Diceros bicornis minor: one gene and its partners. The protein of the gene in region 1 interacts with the protein of each later gene in a pairwise test. Links are inferred from orthologs where the notes say so. Each region holds a gene or a part of one and is shown in the gene's direction. Other genes may lie near its edges. The genes, in order: APPL2, RAB22A, CRADD and SUV39H2.

Region 1 (7,455 bases):
CGCCTGGGTTTTAGGATGGTATTGCTTCTAATTTTCCTACTCATTAGGCTTCTAGGATGGTTTAATAGTCTCCTGATTTTCCTCATACCTCATTAGCTGCTGGAACTTTCTTGGGGATCAGTCCTCCAACCTCTCCTCTTTCCTATCTGTACTCAATCCCTAAGAAATTTCATCCACTCCTATGATTTAAATACTACTCACTTGCTAGTGAACTTCCAGACTTATACTCTCAGCCCTTGTCTCTCCCCCAAACTCCAGAGTGGCATATTCAAGTACCCATGTGACACCTCTACTTGGATGTCTAAAAAGCATCTCAAACAGCATGGTTGATGCCACCACCACCAACCTGCTCCTCCCCTAGTGTTTCCCATCTCAATAAATCACAGGACCGTTTTCCCACATGCTTTTTCTCTTTCTCTCACACCCTACATCCAGCATATTCTCTCAGGTCTACTTTCAAAATATGTCCAGGTTTCAACTACTTCTCACCATTTCTACCACTACCCTAGACTTTGACCTAGACCTTGAAATTTCTTGCTCCAGTGATTGCAATAGCTTCCTCAGAACCCAGAGAGATTCTTTAAAAATGTAAGTCGGGGGCCGGCCCTGTGGCTTAGCGGGTAAGTGCGCGCGCTCCGCTGCTGGTGGCCCGGGTTCAGATCCCGGGCGCGCACCGACACACCGCTTCTCCGGCCATGCTGAGGCCGCGTCCCACATACAGCAACTAGAAGGATGTGCAACTATGACATACAACTATCTGCTGGGGCTTTGGGGGGGGGGGGGAAGGGAGGAGGATTGGCAATGGATGTTAGCTCAGAGCCGGTCTTCCTCAGCAAAAAGAGGAGGATTAGCACGGATGTTAGCTCAGGGCTGATCTTCCTCACACACACACACAAAAAAATGTAAGTCGGACCCTGTCACTCAGCTCTCATATTTAGAACAGCTTCCTGCTATATTTAGACCTTTAGTCCTTCTCATGGACTAAAGGTCCTCTGTGATCTGGTGCTTGGCACCTCTTCAAGCTCATCTCCTCCCATTCTTCCCTGCCTCACTCTACTCCAGCCACACTGGCCTTTCTGCACTTCCTCAAACTAGTCAGCCTGTGCCTGCCTCAGGGCCTTTCCACCTGCTCTTCCCTTCAGGCTTGGCTTGCCTGCTAACCTTATTCAATTCTCAGCTCCAATGTCGGCTACCTCCACAAATCCTTCCTGATTATCCCCACTTCCCATCATTCTCTCTTCCTTTACTAAACATTATCATATGCTTATCAATTTGTATTTGTTTATTATTCTCTCCCTAGTAGAATATAAACTCCATTAAGGCAGGGACTTCTGTTTGCTTCAGGCTACATTCTCAGCCTCTAGAGGAGCATCTACCATATAGTAGATGCTAAATAGTGAATGCCTGAAAAAACTCAGAGCACTATAGTATCAAATGAAATGAGATTCGTGAAATCACTTTTTAAACTCTGGAGTACTAACGTGTAAGAAATAGTAACATACATTACATTTTAATAAGTATTTGTCAAGCAACTCCTTTTGTTCTAGGTAATGTACTAATCACTATAATTACAGAAATAAGAAGACAAAGTTCCTGCTCACTCTAGCTGGAAGGTCAAGGGTGGGAACAAATAGAGATGTTATTCTAGAATTATCTATCCAAGTGCTATGGAAACATACAGAAGGAAAGGAAGATTTATTTTGCTTGGGGGTATGGGAATGAATGAAGGCTTCACAAAAAAAGTCACATTAAGCTGTGATTTGAAGGTTGTGTTTGGGCTTGTCAGACAGAGAAGCAGGAGAAAGGGCATTGTGGGCAAAGGAAAGAATCCCAATGTGCATACAATGTGGGTACTCTACTATCCAGTTTGCTAAGCATCTTCTCAAAACAGATGCCTTCCTCATTCCTACTTTCCTCTCTCACTCCCAGAGCCCCAGGCTTTCTCCGACCCAGCCCTCCTGAGTACCTGTTTGTTTTTCACTGTGTCCTTCTCCCAGTTGGTCTTCAATGGGTAAAAGGCTACAGCCAGAGAGTTCATCCTTTCTCTCCCCAGAGGACACGACAACTCTAAATTGTTCATCTTTATACTTCTTGTGCCCAACCTCACAACTGTCCAAGGATTTCAGATACAGTTGGGTGGATGTTTAAAACCCACCCTCATAATAGTTTAATAGGGGCAGATACTTTTTAATGAAACATTTTAAAATTTTCTCATGTTTACGTAAAAATTCCTCGTACATAGTTTCTCACAGATTGTTTAAGAGGAAGACATTTGGCTTTAGAATTTAAATGAGAGTCATAATAAAGACAGCAAAATATTAGTCGTGAAAGACAGGAAAATAAGGGGAGACAGTGCTTAACATTGAATACTCTATATTTATTAAATGAATGAATGGTTGGATGAATTAGTGAATGAAATAAATTAACAGTTTACAAATGTGTTGTATTCTCAGAGTTACTTTTGTAACTTAGTTGTTTTGATTTTGGGATGCATTTTCCCACACAATGTTATAAATGATACTTAAGTGCTGAGAAATCCCACTAAGGTTATTTAGTCTGTAGTGTAGCAGTAAAACACAGAAAAGTAATGGCATTGTGTAAGAACATGGTTTAAACAATTTTGAATACTGGTATTTGAGGAAAAGTAACTTTAATTAGAAGACGAGGTGGCACATGAAAAATGTGGCGATTCCCAAAGGGATTTCTGAGCTCTAGTGGGAACAGATGAGCATGTCATAAACAGCAAACATTGTGTTTGTTATCATGTGTCACGGTATTCAGAATAAAAGGAAGGTGACATGCTATGCTCTTGAAAGGCTTACTATTTACAGTGGGAGTAAAGACCTACACATAGAAAGAAAAGGCACTATGGCTAAGGCATGTTGGATGACAATCAAGGTCATGGCTGTTCAGAGAAGGGAGTAATCTTTAGGGCCAGGAAGGAGGAAGGAAAAGCCTGGGTCTGGCCTTGTGGAAAAGGATTTCAGTCAGGAGAGAGCTGAGAGAGTGTACGAGGTGAAGTTAACTGAAATGATCCTTGATAGAAAATACAGGAAAAGGAAGAAACATGGCGTGCGCATGTTTCTATCCAAGAAGAAGAAAGAGGGTCTGCCCCGGGGCGAAGCGGTTAAGTGCGCGCTGTGCTGCTGCTGGGCCGCGGTTTGGATCCCTGGCGCGCACCAACACGTCGCTTGTCAGGCCATGCTGTGGCGGCATCCCATATAAAGTGGAGGAAGGTGGGGCACAGATGTTAGCCCAGGGCCAGTCTTCCTCAGCAAAAAAAGAGGAGGATTGGCATGGATCTTAGCTCAGGGCTGATCTTCCTCACAAAGAAAAGAAGAAGAAGAAGAAGAAAGAATATGATGGCGAAAACGATGCTGGATGACTTCCCCCTGGAGGCCATACAATGGCTCAGGAAAGGTTGGTGCTGCCTAGCGTCAACTGGCAACAACAGCCTTGGAGTTTTCAAGTGATCAGGTAGACTGTAATCAGACTTTCAGAGGTGTCTGCAATTCAGATTGTGCCTTAATATACCTAGATATTTCTACAGAACATAGAATTTGTATAATTTTATGATACCCTGCCTGTTGATTTTGGTGACGTGTCCTATTGGATAAATCTTACTGATTCCTAAAGAAGGAACTTCTGTAACCCTTGCCTTTGGTATAAAAAGAAGTGGAGTTTCATTTGCCAGTATCCCCAGCGCCCCCTCCCCCGCTTTCCTTCCTTCTCTTCTGGCTTTCATTAACTGTTTGACCCTGACCAACTCACTCCACTCCCTGGGTCCCCTCTTCTTATCTCTAAACGACAACACTGAACTAGATCATCTAACCCTTCCAATCTACAAACGGGATTATGAAATTTTCCAAAATGACAAAACACAACATACCATGAGGACGAGACCTAATTATATTGCCTAAACCAAATAGTTGTGGCTTCCCAAATGGTTACTTCTGAATATCACAGATGATTCACTTATCCATTTTTTTCTAGCATCAGGTGACCTTCCTGCTCTCAGAGCTGTTCCAGGGGCGCTGAGATTTATCTAGAAAGAGTGGTGTGGGAAGTAGTTTTCCTTCCGTTAAAAAAGTGGCGAGAGTCACAGCAGCCAAATCTGTTCGCTCCTATCTCCTTCGATTCAAAAGTTTTCTGGGTCTGGGGAGCCACAAATAGATAAAACCTTATCAGTCCGCCCTGGAGTTCCCCTTCTTGGGCTGTATTTGCATTGACCGGTACAAGCACCCAAGCTCCGGAACCGCGGAGCTGAACACCCCACGCGCTGGCCCGGAGGGTCTGCGGGGCCCGCAGGCGCGGGCGCGCCGGAAGTGGGACCGCCACACTTCCGGTGGTCGGCCGGGCGCTCGCCACACTTCCTGTTGATGCGGCCCCCGCCAAGGGCTGGGCGGAGAGGAGGGCCGGCGGGAGGGCGGCGGCGGCCACTGGCCAGGCGTGAGCGTGCGCGGGGCGGCCGCGGGCACGGAGCGTCCGCCTCGTCGCCTGAGCCTGGAGCAGCCTCGGCAGCCGCGACTCCCGCCCTCCATCCTTCCACCGGCCCTCGGCCCTGCCGTGCGGCACCATGCCCGCTGTGGACAAGCTCCTGCTAGAGGAGGCGTTGCAGGACAGCCCCCAGGTACCTCCCGCCGCTCCGGTCTCCCTCGCGGCCGAGGAGGCCCCTCCAGCCCCGCGGGGAGGCAGGGAGTAGCAGGGCCCCGGCGGAGGCGAGGACGGAGTGCGCCCGGCCCTGGCCTGAGCCCGGGACACTCAGGAGGGGACATCCCTCAGGCAGAGCCGGAGAGCTCTGGGACACCCCCGCGGCCGGAGCCTTTGCGTCCTGACCTCTTTTCCCGGCAGCTGAAACTGGGGCTGCCCGGCCTCACCTCGGGCTCCACCACTGAGCAGCTGAGTGCCTCGGGCAGATAGTTTCATCTTTTCGTGCCTCAGTTTTGTAATCTGTAAAATAGGGATAATAATTGTACCTGCCTCTTCGAGTCGTTAGAATTAAATAAGGAAATGCCAGTAAAGTTGTTAGCGGACAGTGTCTGATAACAGAGTAAGGGGTTAATCTTATTTATTATTATTACTGCTACTCCTGATGTGATGGGACCTGGTGGATTTAAGGCCATAATGGGAGGCAGGGCCTGGATCTCTTTCCCAGCGGTACCAGGCCTCCCTTTGGCCCTCTTTTCCCATTTGTGAAGAGAAGATTACAATACCTGCCCCATTTGTCGCACTGGAGAACTTCATTAGCACACTGGTGAGAGGCAAGTCCTTTGAGCTCTGCGGATGAAAGCTGATGTGTAAATAGAGCAAATGAGTGCAGAGGGCCTTAGTTCATAATTCAGTGCACCTTTCCCCGGGGAACCTTTGTTCTCCTTCATTAACCTTTCCCCAGCTTCATATCTGCTCTCGTGGTTCTGCATCCCTGAGTTATTCCAATAAATCTCTTGATTCCCTACTGTCTTGACTCTTAAACAATTAGAATGAGATTAACCTGTTTCCTTGCACAGTTTCATTTCTCTCTTTGGTTCCTTCCCTTTTTCTTAGTGATTGTCCTCCCAGGACGATCCTACACCCACTCTGTGTCTTTCCAGTTCAGAATAAGTAGTCAGAAGGGCTGTGTGCTTAGTAGCCTTGAGCCCGTTTCTTTGTGTTCTTCCTTACACGTAGGCAAGTAAGAAAAAGTAAGCAAGCTGTGATTTTTTTTTAATTGGTGTCCACTGGTCTGATCAACTTTTCAAAGGCCTCTTTGAAGTCTCTAGACTACTGGCATTTTAGTGGGACCAAAGCCCTTGGTAGAAGTCATTTCATCCATCCTCACATATATTGTCTGGGATCTGAAGATAATTAGAATTTCTAATGATATCATTTTGAACAAGGATTTGCGTTTGCATTGTAGTTGGAGAAACTGAGGCTCAATGATATATTGCTTTCCTAACAACATGGTGATGGCTGAGCCAGGTTAGAGAGGTTGCACTGATTCTCCATGTTGCCCTCACCAATGAGTCCCAGTCTGAATTTTTGGCTCTCCCATAAATGAATATGGACTATTTCTGAGTGGTTTACTGTATTTGCTCAGCTGTGAGGAAGCAGGAAGAGGACTGGCAAACAAGTCAGGAGACCTGTGTCCTAATTCTGGCTGTAACACTGACTTACCATGTGATTTGGGCAAGTCGCTTGTCCCCACCTTGTGACCGTTTTCTCATCTGCAGAATGAAGGACATGGAGCAGATTATCTTTAAGGGTCTTTACAAACTTAAAATTCTATCATATCTGCATGGTTTATGATTTTGAGCTTGTGTGTGGAAGAGGAGAGTTAGAAGCATTGTCATTCCTATTTAATGTTCTTAATGTAGGGAATTTGTCATTGCTTTTGAGACTTGGATGTCACCCTACGAGGGTTCTTGGTGAGGTTGTTGAATGGAAGCTAACTTGCAAGAAGGTCTTTGATAATCATCAGAGCATATTTATTTAGCATTCTTGTGTGGGGCATGTGCCTAACTTGGCTTTACTCCCAAGTAGACTCAGACGTGGAACTGGAAGGAATCTAATCCAATTCCTTAGTTTTATGTGTAAAGAATGAAAACAATAGCAAACACCTGTATCACGCATGCATTTTATGTGCCAGGCACTGTTCTAAATGTTTTACCTGTATTAACTCACTTAATCCTCCCAACAATCTTATGAAGTAGGTTCTCTATTAAAATTACCAAGGAGCACAGAAGTTAAGTAACTTGGCCCACGTTATACACTGGAACCAAGGCAGTCTGCCTGTAGCCCAGCTACCTAGCACTTGGCTTTTGTGTCCTTGGTGACCTAAAGTGTTGTATCACTAGAAGGAAAAGATCCTAAGAAACTGTCTACTGTTTGTTTCCTCTAGTTTTATGTAGAGTAGTTATGAGGGTTGCTCCAGTAACCTGGTTGCGCAGGGTTTGTTAAATGGACACAAGAGCTTTTGTGTTTGAACTCAGTGACCCAAGAAGAGCTGACTAGCAGTTGACTGACCTTAGACACATCTGTTCACTTCCCTCTTTTTATTACTGGGCGACGTTTAAGACTAGTCTGCGTGCATACACGTGTCATTTCTGGTTGCCTCTGGTACATGAGAGGCAGAATGTTTTAGGGATTGAGATGCTCGTCTCCATGGCTGTTTGCGAGCCTCTGCTCCTATCCAGGTGCTGCTAGGTGCTGGGAAGGTAGTGACACACAAGATAAGAGTGCCTGCCCTCCACTGGTTCACAGTCTGTTCCGGAAGACAGATAAGGAAAGCAGCAGTTCCAGTACTGTGGGAATACTGCTGTGATAGGAGCACAGGTGCAGCTTCGAGCTGCTGCCGCTCATACTTCAGGGGCTTGTTCTCTTGTGTGTAAGTAGTGTGCTTTTCAGAGAAGGTGAAGACAAAAGCACTTTGCTTGCTGTTTTGTTTTGATTTTTGTTTTTTGTTTGTTTGTTTCCTTT
Region 2 (7,392 bases), on another chromosome or scaffold:
GAGTGGTGTGTAGGTCTGTGCCCGGGATTTGAACCGGGGAACCCCGGGCTGCCAAAGCGGAGTGCCTGATCTTAACCACTACGCCACTGGGCCAGCCCCCTAGTAATTCTTAATATAACGGTAATTCTTTTTTTTTTTTGTGAGGGAGATTAGCCCTGAGCTAACATCCGATGCCAATCCTCCTCTTTTTGCTGAGGAAGATTGGCCCTGGGTTAACATCCATGCCCATCTTCCTCTACTTTATATGGGACACCGCCACAGCATGGCGTGACAAGTGGTGCATCGGTGCGCGCCCAAGATCCGAACCCGCAAACCCCAGGCCCCCAAAGCAGAGCGCTCGCACTTAACTGCTACGCCACCAGACTGGCTCCTAATGGTAATTCTTAATATAATCTAATACCCAGTCCAAGCTCAATTTTCCCCAACTGTCTCAATAATGTCTTTTTATAGCTGGTTTGTTCAACTAAGGATCCAAATACGACCACATATTGTATTTTGTTTATAGGTCTCTTAGGTCTCTTTATATCTGCAATAGATTCCTCTCATTTTTTTTCACCCACCACTGGCATACACTTAAATTCTAATTGGCCAAGCAAATCATACCCAGAGTAATACCTCTTCAGCCTCCACATGCTCTATGCAAACCCAGATATTCACAGGCCTTTGAGCCCCTTAGGCACAGACTCATACAGCTCTACCTTCCCCGCACGATCCACCACCAGGACCAATACGCGAGGCCATCCCACACACTTTCTGATCTCAAGAAAAGGAATTTAGATTGCTTCAGCAAGCTAATTCTCTAAAATTAAATCTCTTCTGCACTGCAATGGCCAAAAGACTCTGAATGAGTTAAAAAAACAAGGCATCCATTCATTATCGCTTCTTTTCGAAGTTAGCCAAATTTAATTAACAATCACAAAGTAAATCAGACAAGCCTCATAATCCATTATCGGTACTAGTGACGTTAACTGAACACCTACATCATGCAGGACATTGGGTCATAAAAAAGATGACCTGTGTCCCTGTCTAAAGGCGACTTATAGCCTAAATGGAGCAGTTATCACATTCACATCATTTAGACAAAAATGCCCAAGGAAGACAACAAAGAACCACCCAAACTGACATCCAGGCCCCTACCATTAGGTTAAGAATATTCGTGAAGTCGATCTGTGTGGTGAAATAAAAAGAACAAGAGTCAGAAGGAACAGAGTTTGATTGCTAGTTCTATCATTTATGAGCTGTGCCACACTGGATAGGTTACTTAACCTCTCTGATTTTCAGTTTTATCATCTGTAAAATAGGAATAATCCCACGTACCTCACAGAGTAGCAGCTTTTAAAGAAAAAATGAATGAGAAAATCTTATATGAAAGCCTAGTAAGAATGGTGATGATTAAAATAATAAAAATAATAAAATCATTGAATATAATACTCATTACGCCAGGTGCTGGGCTAAAATGTTTTATGTGTACTATCTCATCTAATCCTCACATCAGTCCTACGAAGCATTTCCTATTCTTACGCCATCTTCCAGATGAAGAAACTGAACAGAGTGAGTGAGTGATCTGCCCAAGCTGACACAGCTAAAGCAGAAAGTGGGTCACAGGAACTCACTGTTCTTGCTGTCAATCACGGTATGATAATGCCTGCCTCCCAAATACCACCCCAGTAAGGCATAGAGGTGAGACCCAGGCCCTCATACTGTGGCTATTACATCAATTATATTGTAAAGTCATAAGGTACAGCATCCCGCAGCCCCAACCCCTGCTCAAACAGGAAGCCCCAGGAGGCTCCCAGAGCTGCCCTACCCAAGGTGTGGGTACTTTCAGAACCATAACGGTGGTTTCCTTCGTTACCTGGGCAAGACTTCAGTCGTCTGCTAAAGAGTATTTAAGGCCTTCTTGATTACAAGTCTCAAACACCCAGTATTTGTTCAAACAGGGCCAAAGTAAAATCATAATGATTTTTTCCTATATAATCTCTTACTTCCTTTCTGTACATATACACAAAAAAGACTGAAGGAAGCTAGCCGCAGGGAAAAAGGTCCAACTGCCGGCAGGTGCCATGCTTTGAGCAGCCCAACCTAGCCAAGTGGAGAAGGCTGCTGGAGAGAGCTGAGGCCGCGGCCAACCATCCCCGCAGATCTCCTGGCCGACAGGCACGTGAGTGAAGCCTCTTCGGACCTTCTCACCTCCCCAGAGTTCAACTTAGAACACGAGAAGCTTCTGTATCACCCAGTTAACCCACAGAATTGTTAGAAATAATAAAATGCTGTTGGTTTAAGCCACTAAGTTTTGGGGTGGTTTGTTAGGTAACTGAAACAGCCAGAAATCTGCTTTTCCAGCTAGGCCAAATATTAAATCTATGAATGAGAGATGCCTTAACAGCAGCTCACCGTTGTTGATGAATAGAAACACTACATTCCTTCCAGTCGAGGATGCCCACTGGCTTAAACATTCAGCTCTGTAAACCCGGGGGGCCTACACTGTTCCTGGCTCAACAGTGTTAAATAAATACGAATAATGATCACATTAATAAAAATTATAACGGCAGCTAATCTTTACTAAGTGTTTCTTACAGACAAGGCTTCGCGCTAAACCTTTTATGCACTTAACCTCCACAAAAGCCTTTTGAGGTGGACCCCTATTATGCCCTTTTTATAGATGAGGCCACTGAGGCTCAGAGTGGTACAGTGACTTGGCCAGGATCACACAGCGGATAAAGAGTGGCCCAGGACTTCACTCTCTGACCATCTGACTCCAGAACCTGTGCTCCTAAACAATCGACTTTATTGTCTCTTCAAGTGTCACTCCACTTTAATAAAGTTGCTCCGTCTAAAAGAGATAATGTGTGTAAAGGGTTTACACCTGTGCCCGACCTGTGGCAAGTTTTCAAAATACACCCACTCTTATTATTAGGAAACTGGTAGATGGGAAGGGAAGAGCATAGCAAGCCCTGATTAACACTAGCCATTTTGATGGTCTGTACAGGCCTCCTTCACCAGCAAGCATGCCCGGGGTTTGGTAATTTTCTGTTTAGAAGTCTGCTCTCCCCCTGGCCAGTGAGCTCCCTGAGGGCTGCCCCTGTTTCTGGTTCATCTTTGTAGGTCCAGGATCCGGCAGGTGACCTGGCCCAGAACAAGTAGGTGCTCAAGAAACTGCTGAATGAATGGGAAGGAAATGCTTCACTCACCACAATGGGAACCTGCATTGCCAGGGTGACATCTCCCCCGGCCATCGGTTCTTAAAGGGATTCCAACGGGAAGGAGAGGGCAGGAAGTGAGAGGGGATGGAGACCCACCCGGGAAATGCGGGCGCCAACGGGCTCCTTGGGATGAGAGATGGAGCTGGGCTGGTGGGCAGGACACCTGAGAAATCTGTGCCACTCTGTGGCCGGCCACACGGAGAGCCAGACCTCCCAAGTCCCCAGAACTCTGACAGTCCCGGGGGACAGTGGAGACCCCGGGGGGAAGCCCCCCCGACCCGTGGCCGGAGTCACCAGGACTCGCCGCCGCCGGGCCGCCGCGGGGCGGGGGAGGAGGAGGAGGAGGAGGAAAGTGCCAGGAAGTCAGAAGTTTCCCCACAACAGAAATCCTCCCCTGCCGTCCTCGGCCAGACCTCCCCTCCCGTGAGGACGGACCGCCACAAGTGGATCAAGGCAGCTGGGGGTCCCGCTCTCCTGTCCCAACACGGAGGGCCTAGCCGGTAGCTCCCCGCTCGAGTGCCGTGCACCCCGAATTCTGTGGGATGCTCCCAGGGAGGGGCGGGGGCGCCCCAACTGTTACTTACAATCGTCTAAGTCATCCTGCAAGTCCACAAAGTACAGGGGGATCTCTGAAAACCAAGAGACACACAGGGGTTACGAGGGGGCCGCGGCGGGCGGGCTCAGGTGAGGGCGGGGGTCCCCGTCCTCGCCGGGTGGTCCCGGCTGGGGGAGGGGGTGCCCCGGAGCCCGGCCCCACTCACCCGCCATCTTGGGATGGGCATGGAGGCGGGGCCGGGGGCGAGGGGCGGGGCCTCGGGCGAAAGGCCCCGCCTCCGGGCCCGCCCCGCGGCCAGCGCGTCCCGGAGAGCCTCGCGGCGCCGGCCCGGCCCCGCCCTCGCGGCGAAGGTGGCTGCCGAGGTGGGCGGGGAGGTCAGGTGACCCGGCCGGCGTCCCAAGATGGCGGCGGCAGCGGCGCCCGGGAGGCCGCGGCACCATCCCGGCTGTTGAGGCGGCTCCCGCGCGGCTGGCGGCGGACAGGCCGGGCCGAGGGCCCGCGAACGGGCGGCCGCCGTCTCTGCGCGCCCCGCGGCCGGGGCTGGGCCGTGCGGCGGCGGCGGCGGCGGCGCCGGGGGATGCTCGTGCTGGGCCCGGCCTCTCCCTCCTCCACTTAGGGCGGCGGCGCGCCCGCGCCCCTGGCTGCCGGGCCATGGCGCTGAGGGAACTCAAAGTGTGTCTGCTGGGGGTGAGTGGCGGCGGGCCGGCCGGGCGGGCCGCGGGAGGCCGGGCGGCCGGGGACCCCGGCGTGCCCACGTCCCCTCCGCCCCTTCCCCCCGCCTCCGCGCGGGACGCCGCCTACCTGCCCCGGGTCCCTCCATCCTGCCCACCTTGCCGCACCCTCCTGAAGGTCCTGTTGGCAGGAGGGGCCCTCCCTTTTCCCCTCCCTGGAGCCCAAGGACTCTTCCCGCCCCCTAAAGGGTGAAGAGCCCTCGCTGTCTCTCTATTGCATCTAGGTTAAGAGCAGCTCTTAAATAGTGTCCTACCAAGGTACTAGTTAGGAGTTGGCCAGGTCTTCCGAAGTGAAACCAGTGACAGGTCTTTAGGTTTTAAAGCAGCAGTAGTCTCCTTTCCCATCTGTTTGGTGTTTTTGAACTTGTGGGATACCCCTGACACTTTTCGCAGAGTTGCTTTCCTGCGAGGCGGGGCGGGGGGGGGGGGGGGTGACGTGCAAATCAGGAAGCTCCAAAGACTAGTTTGAAGCTCCAGCTTCCTGTCTTGTCAGGGCAACTTTCCCATTTCAAAGCAGGCTTTCAGAAGTTGATGCTCTCTTGCTTGAGTTGCTGCTTTAAAGACTGAAAAAGATCCAGGAAAGTCTTCCCCCTTCCCAAATAGGGCGGAGCTGGGATTTACTGGGAATTACTCAGAAGTAATTCGAGAGTTCGTAGTTTACTTATACATGTTAAGAAGTGAGTTTGTCACTTTTCACACTAAGTAGAAACTTTGAGTCTTTCAAAAGGTCCTAAGGTCTCTTAAAAACTGCAAAACCCCCTCCTAGGATACATTTTGAAATCTCCTAATTACTCCCACTGAATTTTTATGAAAACCTTCTTTACATCCCTTAACTTATAAAATTTACCTATCTAGAGTGATTTTTATAAAATCCTGAACTTATGGCACAAAGTAGTTTTCAGTGTCTGCAAGCAGGTAAACTTTTTCTAATTCGCCCATGTCGTTCTCTTTCAGGATACAGGTGTAGGTAAATCGAGTATTGTATGGCGCTTCGTGGAAGACAGTTTTGATCCGAACATCAACCCAACAATAGGGTAAGAGATTAAGTTTACTGAATATATGTCTATAGGTGTATTGAGAGTCTTTCCAAGTAAAAAGTTTGTTACAGGGGTAGGCATGGTTGTTTTACACTCTAGTGACTTCGGAGACAGTGGTTCCCATCATCTCTGGAAAGACTTTGAAAGAATACACTGAAGGTTGGTGTGTTTTAGAAAAATTATCTTTTGATTTGTGAGGAGTGAAAACTTGAAAATGAAAATATGAATTCAAGTTTTACTTATTAGAATATACATGGAACCTTCTATCTATATCTATCAACAGCAGTTACACCTTGAAATAAGGCAAAAGAAAACAGATTCTGATACTATTGTTTCAGGCATGTCAACTAAAAGGTATTTAGATGGTTTTAGTTCTTCCTGAAAAGTAGGAGGATGGGATCCAAACCCTTCTCACACATTACTGCACTAGTAGTAATAATGAATTAATACATTATTGTTGAAATCTAAGATTTTTTCAGTGTCTAGTTCTTTGAATAAGTAAAATTGGTTGGCTATAGGTTTTCAACTCTGTGAGAAAACTTTTTGGTATTTAAATATCGTAACATTAATACTTTCTCTGTGAGAAGCTGTGTTTTATAGATTTTAATACAGTTAGATTTGTAAAACTACATAGCTGCTATGCTGTTTTTATTGCAAACCTCCAAGCAAATGGTTTCTTCCATTTAAAGAAGAATTCTATTCTGCCTAATAGAGAAATATTTTATGGCATACACATACACATTTGAAGGCATGGAGATGAAACCACTACTAACTTTCTGAAATTAAAATGCCTTTCAGTATCCCTCGAGGAAGAACTAGGTATGTCCACATGTTTAAAGCATGAGCTCATCCTCCTCAGGGCCTGCGTTGTCGCTACCTGCCTGGGAAAGTGAAGTGACAGGAAGTGATAGCAAGTAGTGCTAGTGACTCAATGAGTGACACGCTTCCCACCGAGTCAGAACTAAAAACACAGCTCTGAAATACCCAAAAGTCACCTTGGTTAGAAGTGCTCTATCAGATAAGGAGACAGGAAAATGAAGGGTATAGCTCCAGCAGTCATGGTGAGGCCTGCAGCCCTGTCCTGGGCGTCCCCTCCTCCCTGTGTGCCAGCCCTCCCAGCCTGACAGATGCTGGGGTTTGTCCCACTCGCCTCACCGGGCAGTCTTGGCTCACATTCCACAGGAAAGAGCAATGTGGGGCTTTTGCCCCCTTTCCTTCCACCTTCCCATATTTCTTTTTCCTCAGCCTCAGCAAGTGTCTTCCTCCTTCATGACCAGGTACCTACACACCTGAGCTCTGGAGCCCCCCTCGTCACCAGTTCTCACCTGTCTTCCCCAGCCCTGCCTTCTGGTCATAGCCTGCAAATATGGTCCTAATCTACCTGCTCCACTAAGTCAGCGTCGTTCCCCAAGCCTGCCACACAAATTGTGGAGCTCGCGAAAGGGAGGTCACTACTTCCTTGACTGCTGCTCCCTCCTCAGCCCACTCTCATCCCGATTCCACTCCACCGTGCCACTAAAACCATCTTCCCTGGGTACCAGCTTCTATCGCGTTACCAAAACCAATGGCTTTTTTTTCTTTATTCATTCATTAAGTGCCCACCGTATTCCAGGGGCTAGACAGGCTGCTGGTGATTTAGACCAGGGGTCAGCAAACTATGGCCCTTTGGCCCACCTCCTGTTTTTGTAAATAAAGCTTTATTGAAACACAGTTACACCTGTTCATTTACATATTGTCTCCACTGCTTTTGGGCTACAGTGGCAGAGTTGAATAGTTGTGACTAAGACCCTATGGCCTGCAAAGCCGAAAATATTTACTCTTTGGCCCTTTTCAGAAAAAGTTTGCCAATGCCTGCTTTAGATAAA
Region 3 (6,871 bases), about 9.6 Mb from region 1:
ATCTGTCGATGTACACTTTGGTTGATTCCATAACTTGGTTGTTGTGTATAATGCTGCAAGGAACATGGGAGTACAGATATGTCTTCGAGGTACTGATTTCATTTCCGTTGGATATATACCCAGAAGTGCGATTGCTGGATCTTATGATAGTTCTTTTTTTAAGTTCTTGAGGAATCTCCATACTGTTTTCCATGTGGCTGTGCCAATAGAAATATGTGACTTTTTTTTTAACTCAAGAGTTTAAGATTTGTTGCACCTAGTTTCCAAACGTATGGGATTTATGGAAGCTATCCTTTTGTTAAAATTTCTAACTTTATTGTAAAATGGTAGGATACATAGTTTGTGTGCTATTGATTTTTTGGAATTTATTGAAGTTTCTTTGAGACTCGATTCATGACCTATTTCTGTAACAGTTTCAAGTGTGCTTGAAAAGAATCTGTTTTTCTCCATGGCTTAATTTCCACATCTGTAAAACAGGAAGAACCAAAAATATCCAACTCCTTTGATTTTTGTTTTGAAGGTTGTAAAACCAAAGACCAAACTGAAAGACAGAAAAACACTACATTTGTTCTCTCTCTCTCTTTTTTTTTTTTGGTGAGGAAGATTAGCCCCGAGCTAACATCTGTGGCCAATTCTCCTCTTTTTTTTTACTGAGGAAGATTGGCCCTGGGCTAACACCCGTGCCCATCTTCCTCTACTTTATATGTGGGAGGCCTGCCACAGCATGGCTTGATAAGCAGTGCATAGGCCTGCGCCCAGGATCCAAACCTGCAAACCCTGGGGGTCCAAAGCAGAGCATGCTAACTTAACCACTATACCACTGGGCTGGCCCCTATGCTTGTTCTTTTTGACTCTTTCTTTTGCAGACTCACAATGGGTATATCTTGACACAAGTAAATATGGTGGGGAGAGAGAAAAAGGAAAATATCTGTCCTTCCTAAAAATGGATTTGTTACCACTGGGTAACAGGTGCTTAATCCTCCGTGGGGGCACAATTCCAGCCCACAGAGAGGGACTGGACAGAGTGGAGGCGTGACCATCTGTGATAGTGATTCTGATCTGTCTTTGATTCTCTCGGGGCTTGCTGGCCTTAGATATTTATATAAGTGAGGCTGAATCTTTGGTGTGCTGCTCAGATGTGTCATTGTATGCTAGCCCGGGGTGGTGGTCCTCCAGCAAGCTGACTGATGGCAGCTGGCTAGTCAATCAGAAACCCAGCATGGTTGCTTAGGAGGCAGCATGGATGTGCATCTAAATTTGCCATAGGAAGAAGAATTTCATGGTCAAGAACTTCACCCGTAGATTTAAGTCAGATCCTTAATAGCCAACCTCTCAGGTTGTTCACCATTAGAACTCCATGCCTCTCAGCTCCTGCACTAACTCTTCTCATGCTGTCTCTCACTCTCTTGTCTTCTCTTCTGTGAACTGTCATGGAACACACTGTTGGCTCTCTACCTCCTCCTGGACATCATCAATGTCTTCTTCTATTTTCCAGGAGATCTCAAGCCTTTCTAAATACAGCGAGTCATCAAGAATGTTGATGTTTTAAATTAGGTAGTTTTACATGGCTGGCTATTTTCTGTGCTACTTGTTTCAACTTTACTATATGTTTAAGAATTATCAAAGTTTACAGTTGGAAAAAATACACTTGTTTTTCCTCCCCTAAAAGTCTGTAACCTCAGCTATGGGTAGTATCACAAGAGGTCTGCATTTTATCTGGAGGAAGACAGAGAATGTTGCTAACACTTGTTTACATACAGGAGGGCAATCTCGCCCAGGAGAGGACAGCAATTCCAAAACAAAAGAAGAGGGAGAGAGTGAAGAGAGTACCTGGAATTCAAAAGTACCAAGAGTAAGAGGTGGCACCAGAATGATTTGCAGATATTTTGGCTGTCATAAGAACAAGAGACTCTTACCGTACAGGGCTGTGTGGTGTACTGTGTACTCGAAAGCGCATGAAATCAGAGGAAACTGGTTAGAATTCAGGTTTTGCTATGTATTAGCTGTCAGATTTTGGCTAAGACACTTGCCCACTTTGATTCAGTCTTCACATATGTAAAATGCTAATCATAATAATAATACTTGCCATCCATATAAAAATATTGTCACTGCTGGTATAGTAAAATGGTATATTGGCATAGTAACACTTTAAACTGTTTACAAAAATTCGAAGGTTTTGAGGAGGGAGGTCTAGAATTGCTCTCCATTGATTTGCTTACAAAGATATTTTCATCTTCACTAGTTTCATCACTGTTGATGATGAAACATCAACACCACTAGAGGTGTTGGTTGTGAAAACCTCTATAGAAATAACGATATTTGAGGGTTTTGTCTATTACTGTCAACTAACTTTTAGCAGGTGAATGACTTTCTGTATATATCACCCAATTGATTTAAAAGTGAATCAATGAATATTTGTTGATTGCCTCATTTCATAAAGAAATGTGAGGAAGGACCCTCAATTTGACATTATTTTATCTCTCTATATTTGGATCTTGCACTTGTCTTGCCTTCCAAATTAAAAATGTGGTGAACTCAGCAGATCGGCCCCCAGTATTAGACCCTCTCTCTTTTTAGCATGTCTTTCTGTGCTTCAGAAGCTGGAAAACTCCAAACTACATGCCTCACACACCCTCGCTGCTGATGTTCTGCATGTGAATTAGGTTTCACCAATTGCATGCATCAGAGTAAGATTTGCAGATGCTGGTTTTTTTTGTTTTTTTGTTTTTTTTTTTTTTGTGAGGAAGATCAGCCCTGAGCTAACATCCGTGCTAATCCTCCTCTTTTCGCTGAGGAAGACCGGCTCTGAGCTAACATCTATTGCCAAACCTCCTCCTTTTATTTTTTCCCCAAAGCCCCAGTAGACAGCGGTATGTCATAGTTGCACATCCTTCTAGTTGCTGTATGTGGGACGAGGCCTCAGCACGGGGGGGAGAAGCGGTGTGTCGGTGCGCGCCGGGGATCAGAACCCCGGGCTGCCAGTAGCAGCGCGCACACACTTAACCGCTAAGCCACAGGGCCGGCCCTGCAGATGCTGTTTTGATGCTGCTGGCAAATACAGCTGTGGAGACCTTGTTTTTTCTGCAGGAGCATTCCAATGTCCAGTCACTTGCTCTGTCAGTGTCGAGAAAAGGTTGGGACTGTGGAGTGGTGGCTTCCTGACTCCAACTTCCTGATTATGGCCAGGAGCCAGTTTGGCAGTGCTGTTTAGGGAGTCATCCTTGGATGCCCAGACCTTTTCCAGCCTTTCCAATGACTGTGAATGTCCCCAATTTCCTATGGCAAATCCCTTTCTGTCTAGAGCAGCTAGCTGATGGCTGCAACTGAATCCTGACTGATTGACTTGTAAACTATTTACCGGCAGGCACACTGTGATATAAAGAAATGACCTTGCATTTTAGTGAAGGGAAACAGATGATAAATAAATGATTAAGCAAAAGTTTTAGTAAGATGGCGATACATACTACAGACAAAAATAAAGCTGGAAAAGGGGAAGGAGACTGCAGGAAATGAATGCGAGTGTGTTGCAATTTTAAATAGAGGGGTCATGGAAGGCTTCGCTGATTAAGGTGACTTTTGAAACCTGACTATCTATTATGCCAATTGTGTGCAAGGTACTGGTAGAGTTACTGTGTTAAAAAGCAATCATCCAATCACTCCTTTGCTTAGATAACCCCCTAAGTGATGCAACTATTTTCCATCTCCAGGCAGCTATATCGCTTACCCACAGCAAACATGGCGGAAAGGGCTTCAGTCTGACACTTGGGCCCCCAATAAAGATGGCTACAGCACTTCCTGTGTTTGCCCTCAACAAAGATGGCGACGATACTTCCTGTTCAGGGCTTTCGCCTTCAACAAAGATGGCGCTTATGGTACAGGTTCCCTAACAGTCTGGATTCCGGTTGCAGTTTTTTTTTTTTTTCCCCTAAGATACGTGTTTGCAGACGTAAGTAACAGGAATCCAGAAACCCCGTATCCATCTTTTCTTCAAGGTCCCGCGCCGTGGCGTCTGCAGCCTGGGCCCTGCTTGGCTCCCCCGCCCCCCCTAACTTGCTGGCGGCGTTCTAGAGCCGGCCCGGGGTGGGGTGGCGGTGGGGGTGCCGGGGATCCACTCTGCCCTCGGTCCGCTCTGAAGATCATTCCCAGCACCCCCTTTTTAGCGAGTCAGGTTGCCCGGAAAATCTCTCCTAGTTCTTTCTCTTCGTAATACAAGAGGGCTTCAGCTGGCGAGGCAGGGAATAAAGAGAAATTCCACATGGGCGCTAGCAGTCCGAAGTGCGCATCCTCCTCCTCCCCTGCCACCTCCCGGACTTCGCAGAGGGTGCTAGGAGGGACAGGGGCGGGGGGCGCGCCTCCCCTTATTTACCCTCATAGCCACCACACCCCCGCCCCTCAGCTCCCTGGTGCAGTGGTCTTGGAAATATGCCGGGCAGTCCTGCTGGCCACTGACCGGGACTGGCCTGTGGACTTTTTTTTTTTTTTTAAGAAAAAAAATCCCATTCAGTGACCCATATGTGTGTGGCCACGGCAGTGTTGTGATGGAGATTCTGAATTCTTAGAGGGAAGGGATGGAGTCTGTGACTATGTATAAGGTTTATTGTAGACTGGGCACAAACACTAGTAAATGTTTTTCGTGATGGTGTATAGGCCTTTTCTCATGGGGGAGATGATCCTTAAACTTCTTGGTACCTGCAGGTTTCTGGCCCCACTCCCATTGCTGATCAGGTTCTAAAAATGCCCGTGGTCCAAAGGGCACCTGTATGCGTACTGGCAGTTTCTGTGGTGGTGGGGTATCTCTGATGAAGGCAATGTTAAAATAAAAGCACTGTTTCTTCTCAAGTGTGTTAAGATGAAATGCTGCTCTGTAATCCTCAGATACAAGTTGTTTTATAAGCAGGGTCTCTGACCTCACGTTTTTCCAGATCTCTTTATTGAACAAGGAATTGAGCTAGGACCCATTATGTGGAAAGCAAAAACAGAAAAGATAATTCATGTTCAGTGTTGTTCATTATGTTTAGAAACATTTGAAATTAATTTGGCTTGGCTCAAGAGCCGTGTATGAAACACCGTGGCCTGGCACTCTGGTAAGATTCAAAGATATCCATGACCTTAAGGAGCATACATTGCAGGACCCCATCTGTAGGGGCTCAACAGCATTCCTGTAATCTGAGCTGTGGATTTTGTCTTTTCCCAGGAGGAAATGGAGGCTAGAGACAAGCAAGTGCTGCGCTCCCATCGCCTGGAGCTGGGTGCAGAGGTACTGGTGGAGGGCCTGGTTCTTCAGTATCTTTACCAGGAAGGGGTCTTGACGGAAAACCACGTTCAAGAAATCAAAGCTCAAGCCACAGGCCTCCGGAAAACAATGCTGCTGCTGGATATCCTACCTTCCAGAGGTCCTAAAGCATTTGATGCGTTCCTAGATTCCCTGCAGGAATTTCCCTGGGTGAGGGAGAAGCTGGAGAAGGCAAGAGAAGAAGCCCTAACTGAGCTGCCTGCAGGTAGGCCTTCAGACGAGCTCCAGAATTGATGGAACTGTGTCCTTTGGATTTGAAGTTGGGGTTTTAGGCTGGGAGGGGGATGGCGGTTCCTGAAAGTGAATAAGGAGTTTGGACTGAAGGCACGTGGCATTGGAGGGACGGGATGAGGAGGTGGAATTAGGAAGTGCAGGGAAGGAAGGAAGGATGAAGCATGATTGAGAGGTTCAGGAGGGAGCTCAGAGAATACATTTAGAAATGCTTCCAGGGAAACTTGGCAAGTCACTTGGGAGGCATGTTCTCATCCAAGAGCCAGGTCGTTGGCATCAGGACCATTGGAAAGTGCAGATGGGAAAGCAGGCATTAGGCCTACTGATAACTGGTTCATGGGGTGCCAGAGCTGCCGGCAAGAAGAGGTCAGGTTCATAGAGGAGGAGACAGCCTTTAGGAAGGCACACCTTACACCTGTTCCCTGGGCTGCCCTCCATGGCTAGAGGGGATAATTTGGAAGGCTGACTTAGTTTGCTTTTAAAGGTTATTGGTTTCAAGTCATCCTTGTTAGTTTGGCTTTCTTCAGACACCCGGAGTATTTAGTTTTGTAAGGACAGTAGTTTGAGGAGGGGCTCATTTTGATTTTAAGGAAAATTGGAAGCTATGGAAAAGAGAGTTCTGGTGCTGTTAGCCTGGCTTGTAACAGGAAGAAGGTATGATATGAAACACTTGTTCCCTCTTAACTCCTCCCATGACTTTTCCTTTTTACAAAGATTAAGGAGCAGAGAACTGAATTGGTGAAAAAAAAATTGAAAGTTGACTTGCGTGTTTAACAGATTTAGGAAATCAACATTCTCTGGAGTTTTTGATAGCAAACTACTATCACTACTATCAAACTAGTAGTTTGATAAACTACTCCAAGTCAGTGGTCTCCCGACTTTGCTGTTGCTGTTTTTTAAATACCAATATAACTGGTTAAAAAACAAATACCAGTAATAAAAGACCACCTTTATTATTTTTGCCGCATGGACCTCATATTCTGATTGATTTTCCAGACCACCTGTGTTAAGTAATCCTGATTAATTCTTCTATTTTTATTAATGACATATGTCTGAATATCTGATCAGCATAAGATAACCAGTTAACTTAGGAAGGCCTAGTAAAGTCCCAGTGGAAAAAGAAAAAATATTTTCATTTCCCCTTGTGGCCAAATTATAGGTAAATGTAGGTTTTAGGCTTTTTTGAAATACTGAAAATAGCTGGCCTTTGAGGACCACAGGAATTCTTGGGTTGGATTGTCTTTACAAAATTAAATACTCCAGGTGTGTGAATAAAGCCAAACTAAAGTATCTAAGACACTTCTACCAGTTTATTGAAAGCAGAATAAATAACATTGAATTGGGGAG
Region 4 (7,925 bases), on another chromosome or scaffold:
AAGTGAATTACATGGAAGAAAACATAACAATGTCATCTTTGTATCCTACAGGACAATGGCCAGTAAAGATATCTTTTGCATATTTTATGGTTTGGTTAGAAACACAATAAAGAAGGAAAGAAATACCACCACTTCTGACTTCATTGGTCAGCTTTGCATGATTTTTTCCCCAAACATATCAAATTTCACATTGTCATCAAAAGTGCTTTGTTGTGGAGCTGGCCCTGTGGCTGAGTGGTTATAGTTCTATGCCCTCCGCTTCTGCAGCCTGGGTTCGCAGGTTCGGATCCCGCGCACCGGCCTACATTGTTCACCAGCCGTGCTGTGGTGGCATCCCACATGCAAAATAAAGGAAGATTGGCATAGATGTTAGCTCAGGGCCACTCTTCCTCAAGCAAAAAAAAGAGGAAGATTGGCAACGAATGTTCGCGCAGGGTGAATCTGCCTCAGAAAAAAGTGCTTTGTTGCCTAATGAAATATACTCCCAAATTTCCTTATATCTTCAGGTGACTAAGTTTTTTCCTTCTGAATTTGTGGAGCATTTGCCAATTAAATTTTCTAGGGTTTTTTTATTTTTTAAGGTGAAAATAGCTTTAACATTCTTCTGATTATAAAATGATACATGTTCATTATAAAATTAAAAAAGAAGAAAATATAAAACATCCTATATTCTACCACCCAGAGTAACAACTGTTAAGATATTTTTGGTGAACATCTTGATAATCTTTTCATGCACTTGCCAGTTATCTTTGTAGTGTCACATATATATTTAAAAACTTCACTTTTACCAGCAAAAGCTTATATGAAATTGTAATTTTACCTGTTTACATGTCTGACATTGTCTAAAGGACAGAGCCAAATATAAAAATAGAAATGCCTATCTATAATACTGTGAAAGTCTTGGGAGGCCACAAAATATTTCATCACAAACGGAAAGCTTTTATCTGTGTAAGAGCTTTTAAAGATAAAAAAAAAAAGTATCAGAGCACAAAACAAGTTCTATGGGAAAATGTCAGGATTTCTAAAATAACAATGAGTGACCGTGTAACATTTATAACAATACTACTGTTTATTTCCTTTAAGTTATCTCATTTTTTAATTGTGATCTCACCACGGCTCCATGAGTAGTTGTAATATGTAGAGAGTAGTATGGTGTGTATTTTGTTCTAGACGTGGAAATAGATTCAGAGAAGTTAAATAATTTATCCAAAGTCTCACAGTAACTAAATGGTGAATTTTGAACTAATATTCAGATGCTTTTTTTGTAAACTTAAGTTTTCTTGACCGCTTACTATTCTGAGCACATTTTGTGCATTATTTTAATTAAATGGAATAGGAGACTCTCCATGGACCTCCAGAAATCATGTTTTCAATGGTTTTTATGGAAAAAAATTGGGCGGGGGGGTGGAGGCATAATGCTGTATTGTCCCCTTGAGGACCCTGGTATGTGTCTCTCGGTCGCTTTTGATTTCCCTCTCCATTTAGAGCCAGGGTTTACCAAGATCCTCACCCTTTTTAGTCTCAAGACTCCTTTATACTCTTAAAAATTACCGTGAACCTAAAGAGTTTGTGTTTGTATTGGTTATATATATATAGTTATATAGTTATATAGTTATTTACCATATAGAAATCAAAACCAAGAGATTTTTTAAATAATCGTTTTTAAATAACAAAAAACATTACATGTTAACCTAAGTAACATTTTTATGAAAAATAACTTCAAAAACAAAAATTTAGTGGCAAGAGTGTTATTTTATGTTTTTTCAAATCTCTTTTAATACCTGGTTTAAGAAGATAGCTCTATTCTGGTATCTTCTTCATTCAATCTCTTGCAATATCCACATTGTATAACCTCTGGAAAACTTCACTGTATACTTGTGAGAGGAGAGTAAAGAAGGCAGATAGCATCTTGGTAGTATTATGAAAATAGTTTTGAAATTATGAGCCCCCTGAAGGGTCTCAGGGTCCCTGTACCATACTCTGCGAGTCATTGTCCTTGATAGTATACACAGTCATGCATGTTGAAGAGACAAGGCCTAATCTATCCCCTGGAATTAATGGGATTCAAGACTAGAAAAACAAAGGAAACAGTAGATTTACAGACGAGTCTAATACATTCATTCTGTAAATGTGTACTGAAACTGATCAAGACCCAAAAAACAGGGTAACTGCAGATTTTGATAAGTGCATTTAAGGGTGCAAAGAAGAGAGAATGGAAGACGGGAGGTACCTACTTTAGATAGGGTGACCAGGAGAGGCCTCTGAAGAAGTGACATTTCAGCTGAGACCCATAAAGGTAGCCATATGAAGAAAGCGAGGAGCATGTCCTCTGAACTAGGAAGTAATTGAGAGTTTCCTAAAGTTATTTATTTCCTTGCTTGTTACCTGCTCCTCCTGCTAGGATATAAGCTTTATGAGGTCAGGGTCTTTTTCTTTCTTGTCCCCTGTTATATTCCCAGCACCATGTACAGTGCCTGGCACATAGGAGATGCACAATCAAAGATTTCTGAATGAGTGAAAAAAGTCCTAGAGAAGAGTGAGCAAAGGGGAGGATGGCACAAAGGAAGGTTGGGGAGGCAGGGTTCCAGGTACAGAAGGCTGTGTAGGCCGTCGGAGGTTTGGATTTTATTCTACGTACATTGGGAAGTATTGAGAACAGGAGAAGGACGTGTTCCACTTTATGTTTTAAGGTCACTTTTCAGCTGTATGGGAAATGATTGGAGGGGAGCAGTAGTGGAAGTGAAACCAGGTAGGCTTTTTCAGGATTCCAGTTGAGAAATGACGGCCTGTGCTAAGGTGGTATTAGCAGTAGTGATGGAGAAAAGAGGCCAAATCAAGGTATATTTTGAACATAGAATTGACACAACTTGCTAATGGAATTAACTTAGAGAATCAGGAGAGGGTGAATCAAGATGACACCTAGATTTCCTTGTAGAGTGAGTGGGTGGTGTGCCACTGTATTGAGATGAGAAAGTTTGTGGGGCATGCAGTGGAGAGGACCACATCTGGAGGCAAAAATGAAGGGTATTTTTAGGAGTATGTTCAATTTGAGATGTTTGTGCAACACCTAAAGGGATCTGTCAGCTAGGCACTGTGGATGTTCAAGTCTGGAACTCAGGGCAGAGGTCAGGCAGGGCTGGAGACAAAACACAGAATCTTAAGCATAAAGATGATATTTAAATCCATGGGAATTGAGGCAGTCACTTAGGGAGAGAGCAGAAGAGAAACGTCTTGGGGCCAAGCCCTGAGGAACACCAGCATTTAGGTCAGATAGAGGAAGAGGAGCCAAAAAGGGGAGTCAAGAGTGGCCAAGGAGGTAGAAGGAAAACTGAGAAAGAAATTGAGTAAGGATGGATGCTCATGGGGTGCTGTTAGGATATCCAGGAGGGCGGTGAGTACATTTGGGGAGGGGCGGGGGGAGAGAAGCCCTGGGAAGGAGGTGAGGCTCTATCTAAGTCTTAAAGGGTCTGTAGGAGTAATCCTAGCAAAGATGGGGAAAAAGTAGGCATTTTGTAGGCAGAGAGAACAGGATTGACCGAAGTCCTGGGGACAGGAAATGGGTAATATTCGAGGAAGTGACGAATTAGAATAGGAGGAAATTATTAGCAATGAGGTTTGAGAAGTGGACAGGAACCACCATATCACAAAGGGCCTTCCGTGTGAAAGGGCTGGATAGGACCTTTATTCCTTATCATCAGGGTAATAAGATGCTCATTATAGAAAATGCTTCAATATGTAAAAACCACAGATCAAAAAGGAAATCGTGCCCCAGAGGTTTTATATTTATCTTCCTATAGTACATTGTTTCTTACATAGTTGAAACTGTATTTTATAGATTTTTATTGTTTGTTTTGCTTAACATATTAAACACTTCCCCAATACTAAAGCCTTCATAAACATTTTTTAATGGCTAGACAGTATTTCATAAGGGAATCAATTTAATGTTCTGTGTTTACTTCCAGTGTTTCAAATTTATACATGATGCTTTGAAATATTTTTGTAATTTTTTACATAAATTTCTTTTAAAAATCCTTGGTAGATATCAAAGGACTTTCCACTGAAGTTTTCGCAATTTCGTCTTCCAAGATTTCTGCTTTGGATTGTTGAGAACAGTCACCATGGATGCAGTGTGAAGACTGGATGGGGGCGGGGTGGGTGGCGACCAGTTAAGAGCTCCTGGAGTTGTCCTGGGGAGCGGACGTGGGCCTTACGCAGCCCTGCCACCAAGGTGTGGCCCCCGACCTCGAAGCATCGGGCACAGCCTGGGACCTCGTCAGAAATGCAGACCTCGGGTCCCAGCCCAGACCTACCTAATTCGAATGTGCTATTTAACAAGATCCCCAGATGATTCCTGTGCCCATTCACGTATGAGAAGCACTGATCTGGACCGGTGGTTTCAAACTGTGCTGCACACTAGAATCCCCTGGGGAGCTCTAAACCTCCGGTGCCCAGGTCACACCCCATACGCATGACATCAGTCTCCGCGAGTGGGGCCAAAAAACAAAACCTCTCCAAGTGATCCCAGCGCGCAGCCAGTGTTGAGAACCTGGGATCCAGGGGAGGAACGAGAAGGAAACGTAATGGTCAGTTGGGCTCAGGTGGCTGAGGAACAGGCCTGGGAGGGAAACGTACTCTGCACCATACAGCTCCGCTCTACGGTCTGAATTTTGTACAGTGTGCACGGAGTGCCCGTGTAAAAGAACGAAAAGGCCCGCGGAGGCCTGATGTACGGCCCGGAATGGCTCGCTGCGCGAGCCCGGCTGAGCGCCCCGCCCCCGCCCGTAGAGCCCGCCCCTCGGGGACGCGCGCCGGGATGCGACGTGGGGCGCAGGCGCGCTCGCCGCCGCGGCCGGGGTCGGGCCCCGGTGACGTCAGGACGCCTCGCGGGTTCCAGCCCGGAGCCCCGGCCCCCGACTCCAAGTGCGTGCCGGGCGGGGGCGGGGCGTCAGGCCCGCTGAGCTATCCGGTCCGACCGCGCCAGTTTGAATGAAAGCTCCCCAAGATGGCGACGGCCGAGGCGCGAGGAGGTGAGGCGCCCCTCACCGTGCCCCGCGCTCTAGGCAAACTCCCGAGGCCCGGGAAGCGGGGCCGGGACCCGCGGGCCCGCCCGAGCGCGACGCGGCGACACGCCGCCTCCCGCGCTGCTGACACCTCGGCCCCCACATGGGCGCCCCCCTTCCCGCGGCCCCTGACCCTTCTCGCGGCTCGGCCCGCCCGCTCCCGGCAGTCTCCTCCTGCGCCCCGCACCAGCGGCGCCCGGCCCGCGCGCCCGGCGCCGGGGGCGCCTCCCTCCCGCCCGGCCGAGGTCCTGCCGACTCGGTGGCCCGGCCCCCGCTGCCCGGCGGGCCCGACGCCCCTCCCCGCCTGGCCGCCGTGCGGAGGTGTTCGGGCGACCACCGCGGCTCCGGGTAATCCCCTGGGGTCGGGCCTGTGGGCACGCGCGTGGCTGGATCCTTTGTGGTGGTCGAGCGGGGCGTGTGGGGTGGGGGCTGGCCTCAGCCGGGATCCGGAGGTACCCAGTGGTGGAAATGTGAGCTCAGGACCAGAGGGAAAAAAGAAAGGGGCTGAAGTATGGGCGCTGAGAAAGGAAGTGAGGGTATACCCCAATTCGGACGCACTAGGAGGCTAAATCCCTCGTTGGAGAATATCCTAGAAAGTGGGATTTGAGCATATAGTCTCTGGCTTACGGTCATTTTTATACCCCCCAAGAACTTGCATGTTATTCATGTGGATGCGAGAGAATTAGGTACTGAAAGTGGGTGTGTGTCGGTGTCGCGCTCTCCGAAAGACTGGAGCCTTCAATGCATTCTAGAATTTTAAAGGTGTTTTCCAGCACTGCTCCTCTCCACGTAGATTATGAACTCATAATCCCCAAACTTTTCTTGCACTAGGGGTTAGTGTGAACTAGTGTGGTGGTAGTGGTAATGCAATGTTTAATCTTGCAAATGAATTCTTTGGCTACCTTCTTATAGACAATCGGAATTGTTACCAAGTGTTTGCAGTTTTTATGTTCCAGTTTTTCTTATTCTCGAAAATAGCATTCCCGTCGAGGGTTGTGTCTTGAATCCTCACGTTACTTCAGCTAGATAAAAATGGTAGGAACAGCAGACAAATACACCTTGGGTAGATAAAACAGGAGGCTCCTTTGCACGTGATCAGCACAGTGAGGTTAAATTGACACGAAACATCCTGAAGTTGTTTAAATGGAAGGGATTTAAGGGGTCGTTGCTGTTCTACCACTCTCCTACCCCAAACCACCACTCCAAAGCAAGCGACCTCTTCCCCCAAATTTTTTGGTGGAAAATGTTGTTTCACTTCTTGGTCTAGAATTATGAGTCCTTTGTGGGAAGGGGGGTGGTGGAAATCGTGCTTCAGGGTTTCTGACAATGAAGTCCGCGTGTGAGTTGAGGAGGGTCGGGAAAGGATATAGTAAGAGGAGCTATGTTCTCTGTTCCCTGGAAATCACCTCAAAACAGAAAAGGTTACCACATCTACCTTGGAGAGCTACCACGTAAAGTTTGAGTTTACTGAGAGATTTTGTTTTGGTAACCCCCATTTACTCCAACCCTCACATTTTTTTCAGTGAATCTGAAACCCAGAAAGATGTTTGAAACCTCACTAAGATCATGTAGCTAGGTGGCCTAGCAAAGGCTGAGGCAGAGGACCCTTTATCCTCTCTAGTGCTTCCCATAACACTAGCCATAAAACCAAGTTTATTACATATTTCTAAACCTGTTTGTGTTAACGTATTTTATATGCAGTATGGTGGCATACTGTTTACAGAAATTTGAGGGTAAAATCTTCTGCAGCACAATTAGTCAGTGGCTTGGTAAGGTTGATTATGAGTGTGTCTGATTTTCTTCAAGCTTGGTATATGGATTATGTACGTTGAATACTCGTAATTCTTGGCTTTAAAAACAATACAGGAAATGAGTATTAGGAAAATAAATATACTCCATTATTTTACTTTAACTCTTGGGTTTATTCACCTTGATAATAATACATTGTAGCATGGGCAAAATAATAAGTGGAATTAAAATTTCATGCAGCATTCCAAAGTGGAAGAAGTAGGACATATGATGTACGAGTATGTTGACTATAGAACTGTATTTCAATGAGATTTCAGTGTTTATTGTCCAACTAAGAGAAAGGGAAAAAGTTACTTTTTAACAAATTATAAGATTGTTTTAAAATATATTTGATATATTTCTAACAGTAATAAGTATGTCCTAGAGATCTACAGTTATTAAAACAACAATTATATTCTATGTAGAATATAATGGAAAAGTCAAAAACATCTCTGTTGACTTTTGCATCATATTATGTGTAATCTTAAGAAAGCTTACAGGCGTGAAACATTTTGTTCAGGTGGCTTAGTAGAAATTAATTGACATCAGTTAAACGTAGTAGAATAGAGACCCATGAGAAAATCCAAGACGACAATTTACCAAAATAGTTCTTCAAGGCTTAACTTTTTCTTGAAGACACATAAATGGTTCCTTGTCATATGAATTTTTAGTCCTGTAAAATTGCTAGTTGAAGGGTGGGAATATAGAGGTCTTAAGTTTTTCCTTTTCTTTTTTTTTTTTTCTTTTGTTTTAATTGAGTAGCTATTTCATTAGTAAAGAATTCTATTTTCTTATTGTAGCTTGGTGTGTGCCTTGCCTAGTTTCACTTGATACTCTTCAGGAATTATGTAGAAAAGAAAAGCTCACATGTAAATCGATTGGAATCACCAAAAGGAATCTAAACAATTATGAGGTGGAATACTTGTGTGACTACAAGGTAGTAAAGGTAAGGCCAATATCTAGCCCCTTAAAAGAGACGTAATCAAACTTCAATTCAGTATTTCATATTTCTGTAACATAAAAAGAACCTTAAAAGTAAGCAAAGCTCTTCTTAATGTTTAAAATTCTAAACCGTAA

The links.
Region 2: the proteins of APPL2 (region 1) and RAB22A interact in binary tests that used the Homo sapiens proteins (3 or more experiments, as listed by UniProt). The two-hybrid records come from large-scale screens. The link is inferred for Diceros bicornis minor from reciprocal best matches to the Homo sapiens genes APPL2 and RAB22A.
Region 3: the proteins of APPL2 (region 1) and CRADD interact in binary tests that used the Homo sapiens proteins (3 or more experiments, as listed by UniProt). The two-hybrid records come from large-scale screens. The link is inferred for Diceros bicornis minor from reciprocal best matches to the Homo sapiens genes APPL2 and CRADD.
Region 4: the proteins of APPL2 (region 1) and SUV39H2 interact in binary tests that used the Homo sapiens proteins (3 or more experiments, as listed by UniProt). The link is inferred for Diceros bicornis minor from reciprocal best matches to the Homo sapiens genes APPL2 and SUV39H2.

Annotation. Positions count from the first base shown.
Region 1 is NC_080764.1:18,726,858-18,734,312, forward strand, and holds the start of APPL2 (DCC-interacting protein 13-beta), read left to right. Parts: upstream 1-4,455; 5' UTR 4,456-4,576; coding exon 4,577-4,630; intron 4,631-7,455. UniProt on the Homo sapiens protein: Multifunctional adapter protein that binds to various membrane receptors, nuclear factors and signaling proteins to regulate many processes, such as cell proliferation, immune response, endosomal trafficking and cell metabolism.
Region 2 is NC_080758.1:5,347,436-5,354,827, reverse strand, and holds the start of RAB22A (ras-related protein Rab-22A), read left to right. Parts: upstream 1-4,410; coding exon 4,411-4,446; intron 4,447-5,444; coding exon 5,445-5,524; intron 5,525-7,392. UniProt on the Homo sapiens protein: Plays a role in endocytosis and intracellular protein transport. Mediates trafficking of TF from early endosomes to recycling endosomes. Required for NGF-mediated endocytosis of NTRK1, and subsequent neurite outgrowth.
Region 3 is NC_080764.1:28,287,126-28,293,996, reverse strand, and holds the start of CRADD (death domain-containing protein CRADD), read left to right. Parts: upstream 1-3,855; 5' UTR 3,856-3,946; intron 3,947-5,194; 5' UTR 5,195-5,200; coding exon 5,201-5,498; intron 5,499-6,871. UniProt on the Homo sapiens protein: Adapter protein that associates with PIDD1 and the caspase CASP2 to form the PIDDosome, a complex that activates CASP2 and triggers apoptosis.
Region 4 is NC_080775.1:15,426,380-15,434,304, forward strand, and holds the start of SUV39H2 (histone-lysine N-methyltransferase SUV39H2), read left to right. Parts: upstream 1-4,917; 5' UTR 4,918-5,002; coding exon 5,003-5,027; intron 5,028-5,056; exon of another isoform or gene 5,057-5,408; intron 5,409-7,648; coding exon 7,649-7,794; intron 7,795-7,925. UniProt on the Homo sapiens protein: Histone methyltransferase that specifically trimethylates 'Lys-9' of histone H3 using monomethylated H3 'Lys-9' as substrate.